Linked DNA regions of Nothobranchius furzeri. The protein of the gene in region 1 interacts with the protein of each later gene in a pairwise test. Links are inferred from orthologs where the notes say so. Each region holds a gene or a part of one and is shown in the gene's direction. Other genes may lie near its edges.

Region 1 (2,390 bases):
ACCATGAATTGTCTAGAAGCTATGACGAGAACATTTTAGCTGTCTGAAGCCGATCAGAGGAGAAAATCTCTGTTCCTTTAACATGGGTTTCAATGAGGGAAAAGCTGGGTCTCTCCTCTTTCTGAGGCTTGTAGCGAAAGAACGGTAACACTTACAGATAAAATGAAACCCATTCTGAAAAGCTGACAAAAATCCTACTTTTTGAGTTATAATTTGTTTTGGTAGTCCAAACGGTCTGGGGGTAGTAAAGAGTTGTTCACAGAAGATGTGAAGTTCAAAAGTTAGAGTGCAGAATTTTCAGTTTAGAGTGGGGAGAGACATTTTTTTAAATTTGAATTTTCTCAAACAAATGAACCGTACGACCACAATGTTTGGATTACAGTCATAAATTATAGCTCAAAACGAAGGTATATTCGTTAGCTGTAAGCCAGCGTGTGTCTGATTTCAATCGGACCTACGGTTCTCTCGGGACAACGCCAGAAATGGAGCAAGGAAGGGTCACCGCTCCTACCTTTCCCCATTATAACTTTTGTGAATTTTTCTGAAAATTTCAAATCATACCTCAACTTCTACCTGCGATTTTAGAAAAACCGTAAAATCCATCAACAAGTCTCTTTAATATGTTAAACAGGAAAGTCTTGTGAGTTTGTTAAACTTTGAATGAAGCCTCTAAGTTAAAAGGAACCCAATAGAGTTTTAGGTCAAAAAAGTGATAGGAATTTGCTGATTTTGCTGTAACACCTGCTGGAGCTTTGTAGGGTATGGCTGCTAACTCGATCATGTGATGAAAGTGTTTTCAAAATAAAATAATGCGTACTTTTTGTATATTTCAAAATAATATGCACTACAACTATCCGATCGATGACTTAAAACATCTATGAAGCCAGGACCTAAACATCAAAAGGGTTTTACATTCATGTGTCACAGACTCACCAACCTGATGATGAATTCTTTGGATCTAAATATCTACCAACAACTTGATACGTGACCAAAACACTGGAACACAGCATAACTAACCCTTTTACGTGTGCCTCAATTACAAGCTAAGAACACCTGGTCAATCGGTGAAGAAGTTTTTAACCTTGGTTCCATCATTTCTTCTTTCAGATTGCAGCCTAGCTGCTGAAAATCTGAAAAACCACCCAAGGCACAGGGACTATCTGGATCGAGTTTCCCAGAGCCAGCTGGAGAAACTCCACATTATCCTGCGAGATCACTTGCAGGGCTTCAGTCTGGAGCACAGCCTCGCCTCATTCCAGCTGAATGCAGATGAAGATCTGAACAAGCTGGATGATGAAATCTTAGCTCGCAAGAAGGGCCAAATGGACAAACTGTTTGAGATGAACAAGAAGCACAAAGACGATCCAGACTTTGTTTATGACCTTGAAGTTGACTTTGGCAAAAAATCTCAAGAAAAGTGCAGCTGGGATGAGGAGTCAGACGATGGATTTTAAAGCTCTTACGTGTCTGAGAATGCCATCAGAAACCCATTGCAAAGTAACATCAAATATGTGACACGTTGACAAGCGTTGTTTATCTGAACACAATTACAGAAGTTACCAGATTGTTTAGGAAACCTTTATTGTTGAATATGGGAAACAAGACATTGGAGCATAATTAAGAGGACGAATGACCCAACCACAACTAGCTTGTGACAAGCTCCATTTCAAACTACAGTTAACAAGGCATAACTAAGTTATAGTTCACTTTATTTGTTATAAAAGACAGAATTTTACAAAATACATAGACTTTGGTTTTATATTTGTGGCTTACACCTAAATGAGACACAGTCAAATATGAAGAAAGCTGCTAAAATCCTATTAAGGTAAATCTGAGTGTATCCCAATGATGAACAATACAACAAATATCTCTTTGGAAAATGTGTCTACAAAATACTGTAATATACAAAACATATATATATATATATAATATTTCCATAGATGGTTTGACGTACCAGTGTTTTCTTTATCACTATGGACCTCACAGGCCACCATCCGAAAATCGACCAAACTAAGGAAACCACTGGAAGTGCTACGAAAAAGTTTAACAGGAGATAACCACGATTAAAACTTAGCCTGGATTATCAAACATCTTAAAGGGGAAAATTTCAAAGTGCTTAAATATGATATTCTGTTGACAGGATACATTGACCACTAAGTACCACGATACATTCAAAAATGTCATAGGCTTTTGTTGAAATGTTCTCAATCAGTATACATTTGCTCGTTTGGTTTAAACTAATCAAAATATATTTTCGAAATAAACCCCACTATTAGTTGCAGTCATTGACTCAGTGCTGATGTAAACCCTAAAGAGGTAGTAACGAAGAACAAATCTGACACATGCTTCCACTTACCATCACGTCTCAGTAAGGATTTAGGTGTTTCAGA
Region 2 (3,331 bases), on another chromosome or scaffold:
TGCTCCTCCTCTTCCTGCTCCTCTCTGGTCTCAGTCTCTCGGTCCTTGCTGGGGACCCAGAGTTGGAGCGAGACAATCCTGTCTCAGATCACAGCTCAGAGCTCAGGTGAGCTGCAGGTGTACCCGTCTGTCCTCCTGAACATCATCTGATATTTATTATCATCCTCCACCCAGATGCAATGTGTGTGTGTGTGTATTTGCATGCATGCATGTGTGTGTGTGTATTTGCATGCATGCGTGTGTGTGTGTGGGGGGGGGTGTATTTGCATGCATGCGTGTGTGTATTTGCATGCATGCATATGTGTGTGTATTTGCATGAGTGTGTGTGTGTGTGTGTGTGTGTGTGTGTGTGTGTGTGTGTGTGTGTGTGTGTGTGTGTATTTGCATGCGTGCATGAACGTGTGTGTATTTGCATGCATGCGTGTGTGTGTATATTTTTATGTGTGTGTGTATTTGCATGCATGCATGTGTGTGTGTCTATTTGCATGCATGCATGCGTGTGTGTATTTGCATGCATGCGTGTGTGTGTGTATTTGTATGCATGCACGTGTGTGAATTTGCATGTGTGTGTGTGTGTATTTGCATGAGTGTGTGTGTATTTGCATGCATGTGTTTGTGTATTTGCATGCATATATGCGTGTGTGTATTTGCATGCATGCATGCGTGCGTGTGTGTGTTTGCATGCATGCACGTGTGTGTATTTGCATGTGTGTGTATTTGCATGCATGCGTGTGTGTGTGTGTAATTGCATGCATGCAAGTGTGTGTATTTGCATGCGTGCATGCAAGTGTGTGTATTTGCATGCATGCGTGTGTGTGTGTGAGTGTGTGTCTGTGTGTGTGTTTGCATGCATGCATGCGTGTGTGTGTGTGTGTGTGTGTGTCTGTGTCTGTGTGTGTGTGTCTGTGTCTGTGTGTGTGTTTGCATGCATGCATGCATGTGTGTGTGTGTGTGTATTTTAGATCCTAAAGGCCGTCTGGTCTTAATATAACAGGTTTCAAACCCACTTCCTCTAAAAACGGACAGAAATTAGGATTATAACATAATCCATGAGGAAAGTCATCTAGATGAAGGTTCCAGCAGCAGCTTCGTGTTCTGGATTGGGTCCTCAGATGTTTCTCCTCTGATGGAAGTTTTTAGTAGAAATGAACGTCTGATTGGGTCAGAACCACCGGTTCTCCTCACAGGAAGGTGGAAACGCCCGGGGTCAGGGGGAGTCCAGTCGGGTCTCAGTCCGAGGGCTGCAGACTAGCGGGAGGAGGAGGAGGGAGCAGTGGATCGGAGCCGAGCCGCAGCAGAAACGGTTTGTTTCTTCTCTGTTACCATGGATACTGATTATGTCTCTAAATAATCGGAGTTGTTTTCCTCCTACATCTGAGTTTTAATCTGTGATCAAACCATAAAATAATCTGTTTCTGTTCTGCAGGGGCATCAAACTCCAGAGAGAAAGGCTTCCGTGGGCTGAGCGACCGAACTGGGTCTCTGCATCTAGGTGGGAATCAGGTTGTTTGGAATCAGAAACGTCCTCTGGACCTATTCAATTTCAATTCAGCTCAGTTTATTTCTAAAGCGCCAAACCACGACCAGAGTCGTCTCAGGGACCTTCACACAGTAAACGATCCAACACAGGTCAGGTCATTAACCCAGCAGGTTGCATCGAGTCACTGACTAGTGTCAGAGTATTTACAGCAATCCTTATACTAAGCAAACATGCAGCGACAGTGGAGAGGAAATGGAGTCTTTGTGTTCCTGTTTGTGAAACTTAAACTCAGGTTTCCTGTTTCCACAGATGATGACGTTGAATATGACGATGATTTCAACAGGTGAGATTTCCAGGTGACCTGCTGCTGCGTGTGCTGGTCGGTTAATCCTCACAGATTTGATTTCCTTAGCTTTTTATTTCATTTATTCATGCAAGATTTTCTCGTTCAGCTCTAAACCGCCAGTTTTATTCAAAATAATTAGAAATGAGTTTTTCCTGTCCAAATGGACTCTAAATACCGGGTGAGATCAAATCGGAATCATCGGAATTACTGTGAATATTTGGTACATTATTTCTGGAAACTTCCATATTTGGGTCCAAATTAGTTTACAGGTCTTATAAAAGCTCTAAAGGTTTTGATTTATAAGCATCAGAGTTATAACAATCTAAAGAGGTGGTTTTACTGAGCTCTGAACCAGCCGATCGGCTTGAATTAGAACTAAGTTTGTGTGTTCCAGCCACCGGTCGGACCTCTCCAACGGAGAGCTGAGCATCGGCGAGGAGATTGAGGAAGTTTCCATCGAAGGTCCTGAAAACAGCGACAAGGTGACGAAAAACTCCTGAGCAGCAGATCTGAGTTCAGTTTAAACTGCTGGTTTCAACCCGCTGTTGTTTGTTTGTGTGTCGATGCAGTTTGATGAGTCCACCCAGGACCTGAGCGTCTCTCAGCTCAGCCAGAGCAACGTCGCCGATTATATGGAGGACGTGTCCTGAATCTCCCATCATGCACCTCTTCCTGTACAGATTTATAGAAACGACTAACGAGCTTTGTGCTGCTGAGAGTGATGATGATGATGATGAAAGATTTGTTTCTATTTATCTGGAACTTTCTGAGGAAACACGAGTCGTCGTAACAACAGGAAGTAACTTTTCAGTCTAAAAGGAGAAGAAGAAATTTTCTTCATCACATTTGAATGGGTTCAGCTCTGTGATGCTGTACGGAAAGCAGTTTTACTCCATATTAAACTAAGATGTGAATAATGAAAATAAATTAACTGAATCAAGTCTTTTTTATTGTAGTATCAACTAAATGATCACATGTAGCTTATCAAAGTAAAAGTCTTTTAACATCATTTAAACAATAAAACAAGTTACCTTTCCACCTCATCCCCCCAGAGCAAACAGGAACACCCTCCTCGAGTAATAAAGACCATTCAGCCTCATGCATTCATCGGGTCAAAGTTAAACAACCCTCCTGATGCGGAACAAACATCTGGACATTTCTCATTAAAACGCTGGAAACATCTGGATTTATCCAATAGATCCAAACATTTTACAATAAAACAAAAGCAGCTGTTTTAGCAAACGATCTTAAAATATGTCGCACCTCACAGAGGAACTAGACATGGATGCCCACTTTCACCCGCACCACTAACACTTTAACACCTAAAATGAGTTTATATGCTGATGATGTACTCCTGTTCCTCCAAAACCCAAACAAATGCGGTGAACTCTCCACAATCTCGAATTATACCATAAACTGGAATAAATAAACCTCTAACAGTAAATGGAGACACAGCAGATTACATCCTACTACTAACACGGTCACATACTTAGGAGTGGAACTCT
Region 3 (3,658 bases), on another chromosome or scaffold:
CTTCAAAAGTAACACAATGAGCTGTGCTATATTTGTTATTGTTTATGGATTGCTTTTTGCCAGATTGCAGCTTTTAAGGCATAATTCCTGCAGAATGTTTTAAATAGTTTCAAATACCAGACCATAATCGGCACCATTTCCACATTGTAGTGTCTTAGGTGGTAAAGGCCTAGCTGCAAACCTGACTCTCTGTATATTCTATTTTTAATTGTTTCAACCAAACTTTTATTTTGCTTTTAGCCTCGTACCTGCCCAAACCCAGCTCCCAAGAGTATGAGTTTGTATACATTGATGCTAAAGGGGACGTGTGCTCCCGCAGCTCCAAATTCACCTTCTGTGCACCAAAGCCGCTTGACGATCTGGTGACACTCGAGGAAGTGTCCCACGGTGAGGATGGAGGCATAGACATGCTGTTGGTAGTACCAAGAGCTGAACTGCTGCAGGTGAGCATTAACAATAAATAAGCTTGATGTGAAAATGGATCAGTATGTCTTCAGCTTTGCATAAGTAATGAGTGTTGAGAAGACACTCGTCCTGTTGAGTTGGCTCTGGTATCTCACGCAGCCAATTTAGTACAAGAATGTTTTCCCTGTTTCTGGACAGAGTCGACTGCAGGAGTGCCTGCAAGTGCGTGCTGAGCTGTTGCACGAGCAGGAGGTGTTAAAAAAGCAAAAGGAGATGGAGAGGGATGACTTTAAGAGGGCCAAGGAGGCTTGGGACAGACAGCGAAGAGGGTTGGAATGTGATCTCGCCCGGCTGAAGGAGGAATTGATGTGGAGTCGAGAAAAGATGGAGGAGCTGGAAAGGAAGCAGGAGGTGGCTTAAGACTTTTCCCTTCACTTTTGCAGTGAAAAGCGTTCCTCTACTAAGATATGTTACTTATATTCATAATAAAATATCTCTGGTGTGTTAGGACGGGCAGGCTTTGGCAGAGTCTCTAGCCCAGGAGAAAGCTGCTTTAATGAGTGCCAAGAAGGAAAATGAAGTGCGAATAAGAGAGCTGGAGGAGGACATCAAAACCCTGACTCAGAGGACTGTGGAGAAAGAAACAGAGCTGGAGAGGTTGGTTGGTTTCTTCTCTAGATTAATCTAAGTAGTTTGGTTGTTTTTGACAAGTAATTTTGTGCAGGATGAAGGAAAGAGCCAAAAGAGCTGTGGCCTTGAGGAAAGAAGAGGAGAATGAAAGGAAGAGCCTGCAGGTATTTTCTGAACAGCCACGTCTGCTGGACTCCTCTCTGCCCGTGTTTGATTTTTCTTCTTTGTCCATCTCAAAGTCCAAGCTGGAGCAGACAGAGGTGGAGCTCAAAAGTCTCTCTAAGGAGTTCCAGAGTCTCAGAAACTCCCTGGCACAGAGAGACACCAGCGTCCTGCAGCTCCAAAACTCCATCACCACCCTCACACAGAAACTCACCACCGCTCACAGGAAGGAGGTCAGACATATTCCAAACACGCTTGTACGGTTGGGGCTTCAAGTGAATGTGTAAAATGAATCATGTAACACACTCGTGCTTTGTCGACAGGCGGAGAACGAAGCGTCGCTGAAAGAGATGCGGAGCCTTCGGGAGCATCTTCACATGAGTGAGCGCACCGCGGTGGGCTTAAAGAGAGATCTGAGCACCATGGTGTCGCAGAGGGACCACGGGCATGCCGAGCTGCACCAGGCTCGTCTGCAGGCTGCCCAGCTCACTCTTCAACTCGCAGATGTAACTATGAACCTAAGAAAAGAAAGCACCCACTGGGAGCAGGAGAGAGAAAGTCTGCAGCGCACTGCAGAGGTACGGAATATTAAACCTGCAGAAATTAGGGACATGAGTCAAGTTGAGATATGACACACGGTTAAGCTACTTCCTTGCCTCAGGTAATAGGTGGACATGTGGCAGAGAAAGTGTTTCATAGTGTGTGTTTCTGTGTGTGTTGCACGGACAGAGGGACCATGATCGCTTAGAGAAGCTTAACACAGAGATGCAGAGGGTGGAGGAGAGGCTGCAGGAGGAAAGGATGGAGCGAGTGAAGCTGGAGGTTGAGCTTGGAAGAGAAAAAGATTGCAATCGAGTGAGAAAACGTGCACAAAATAAATAAACACAGACTTGATAGCAACAAGAAGGACATGATGTCACAAGCTCTAGTGGGATTGATGGGACGTGTTCACACCTCATTTGTCACTTTAAGATGTTTATGATTTCTGGGCTGCAGGTTCAACTGAGTGAAACCCGGAGGGAGCTCCAGGAGCTGAAGTCCTGCCTGAGGGTCGCACAGAAGGAGAAGGAGCAGCTGCAGGCAGAGAAACAGGTCAAAATCAGGTTTATGTCCCAAGTTCTCACAAAGACTCTGGGTGCAGAAGAGTTTGCACGTTATAAATAAAGGGCTGGCACTTACTGAACGAATGCACATCGACTTTCATGCCCGAGTTTTTAAACTGAGATCATCTTGTGTGGAGAAGCATTGAAGTGTGATGCTATGGTTGATCACCCATGTTTGCATATTATTGCAGACATGCATGCCTGCAGACATTTGTTCTATGAAGTATATTTATTTACAGTTTGGTACATTTGGTGTCACAGCTCAACCTTAAATTTCGACAATAGAATGATGTTTGCTGTTAACTTCATTTTTATTTTTTAAATCTTGGTTTTAGAGAAATCCTAATGCCAACCTGCAGGTTTACAAGTACGGTGAAAATACCAGGTGTTGTGGATCCTCTCTCTGTTGTTACACTCTTGTTATTGTGCTGTATAAATTGTTTATAGTGCAATATAAAATGGTGGGTTTTTCAGGGCAGCTGGCTCTGGGGCTGTTAATGTGCCTGCAGAGTTTGCTTCTAACTAATTTCACGTCTGCCAAAAAAATAAGGAAATCTGTTTTGTAAACTCAAGAGTCCTGCTGCATTTCAGCAGCAAGCACACATCACTATAGCACATCAAATAAATAAATAAGGATTCAGGTACGTAGTGTAGAGTGACAGCAGTATTTATGTAATAATAAAAGTTGTATTTTTGTGTTGATGGAGTAGCAGTTTTATGTGACTTTGGTTTGAAGCTGTCAGGTGTCATAAGGGTTGTAAGGGTGATGGCTGCTGAAGCCGTTATCGGAGTCCTGCCCCGGTTTGTGATGTGATCCTTGTAATCTGTCTTGCAGGAGTTGATGGAGTACATCTGTCAGCTGGAGCAGAAGGTGGGAACAGTGACCAGCGCCGGGTGGGACGCGGCTCCCGTCGCCTCCACAGGTGAGTTGAGCAGCACATCAATCTGTTGTACGCCCTGCAGATGTGAACAGTAAAAGTGTTATCACTCAGGAGCAGCACTAAATACTGCTCAGAGGGGCTCGTGTTGTGTGTGGAAACAAGAGGAAGAGTGACTCCCCCTTCCCTTCTTTTTCTTTGTCTTTCTCTGACCAATCTTTATGGCAGGATGTCCTGACGCTGCCTTATCTGACTCTGAGGATGAGAGTCCCGAGGCTTTGCAGCTCCTCCATTCCCCCAGAACTCTGGGACACTACAGCTTATGTGAGCAGGGTCAGCACGACTCCATGTTGTTGTCAACCCCCCCTTCCTCCCCCAGGGACGTGAACAGGAGCGCGGTCGTCATCAACCAGCCGGCCCCGCTCTCCCTGCCACACCAGACCGCCGACTCTCAGGCACACAGCTCGGATTCGGTGAGAC

Evidence for each region.
Region 2: the proteins of cep19 (region 1) and cep43 interact in binary tests that used the Homo sapiens proteins (3 or more experiments, as listed by UniProt). The two-hybrid records come from large-scale screens. The link is inferred for Nothobranchius furzeri from reciprocal best matches to the Homo sapiens genes CEP19 and CEP43.
Region 3: the proteins of cep19 (region 1) and calcoco1a interact in binary tests that used the Homo sapiens proteins (3 or more experiments, as listed by UniProt). The two-hybrid records come from large-scale screens. The link is inferred for Nothobranchius furzeri from reciprocal best matches to the Homo sapiens genes CEP19 and CALCOCO1.

What each region holds. Positions count from the first base shown.
Region 1 is NC_091748.1:41,170,250-41,172,639, reverse strand, and holds the end of cep19 (centrosomal protein of 19 kDa), read left to right. Parts: exon of another isoform or gene 1-1,107; coding exon 1,108-1,454; 3' UTR 1,455-1,740; downstream 1,741-2,390. UniProt on the Homo sapiens protein: Required for ciliation. Recruits the RABL2B GTPase to the ciliary base to initiate ciliation.
Region 2 is NC_091742.1:15,825,301-15,828,631, reverse strand, and holds the end of cep43 (centrosomal protein 43), read left to right. Parts: intron 1-34; coding exon 35-106; intron 107-1,187; coding exon 1,188-1,303; intron 1,304-1,426; coding exon 1,427-1,492; intron 1,493-1,789; coding exon 1,790-1,823; intron 1,824-2,220; coding exon 2,221-2,308; intron 2,309-2,395; coding exon 2,396-2,476; 3' UTR 2,477-2,767; downstream 2,768-3,331. UniProt on the Homo sapiens protein: Required for anchoring microtubules to the centrosomes. Required for ciliation.
Region 3 is NC_091755.1:25,996,246-25,999,903, forward strand, and holds part of calcoco1a (calcium-binding and coiled-coil domain-containing protein 1), read left to right. Parts: intron 1-240; coding exon 241-443; intron 444-603; coding exon 604-816; intron 817-913; coding exon 914-1,062; intron 1,063-1,129; coding exon 1,130-1,199; intron 1,200-1,274; coding exon 1,275-1,430; intron 1,431-1,520; coding exon 1,521-1,775; intron 1,776-1,926; coding exon 1,927-2,052; intron 2,053-2,193; coding exon 2,194-2,289; intron 2,290-3,135; coding exon 3,136-3,223; intron 3,224-3,406; coding exon 3,407-3,651; intron 3,652-3,658. UniProt on the Homo sapiens protein: Functions as a coactivator for aryl hydrocarbon and nuclear receptors (NR). Recruited to promoters through its contact with the N-terminal basic helix-loop-helix-Per-Arnt-Sim (PAS) domain of transcription factors or coactivators, such as NCOA2.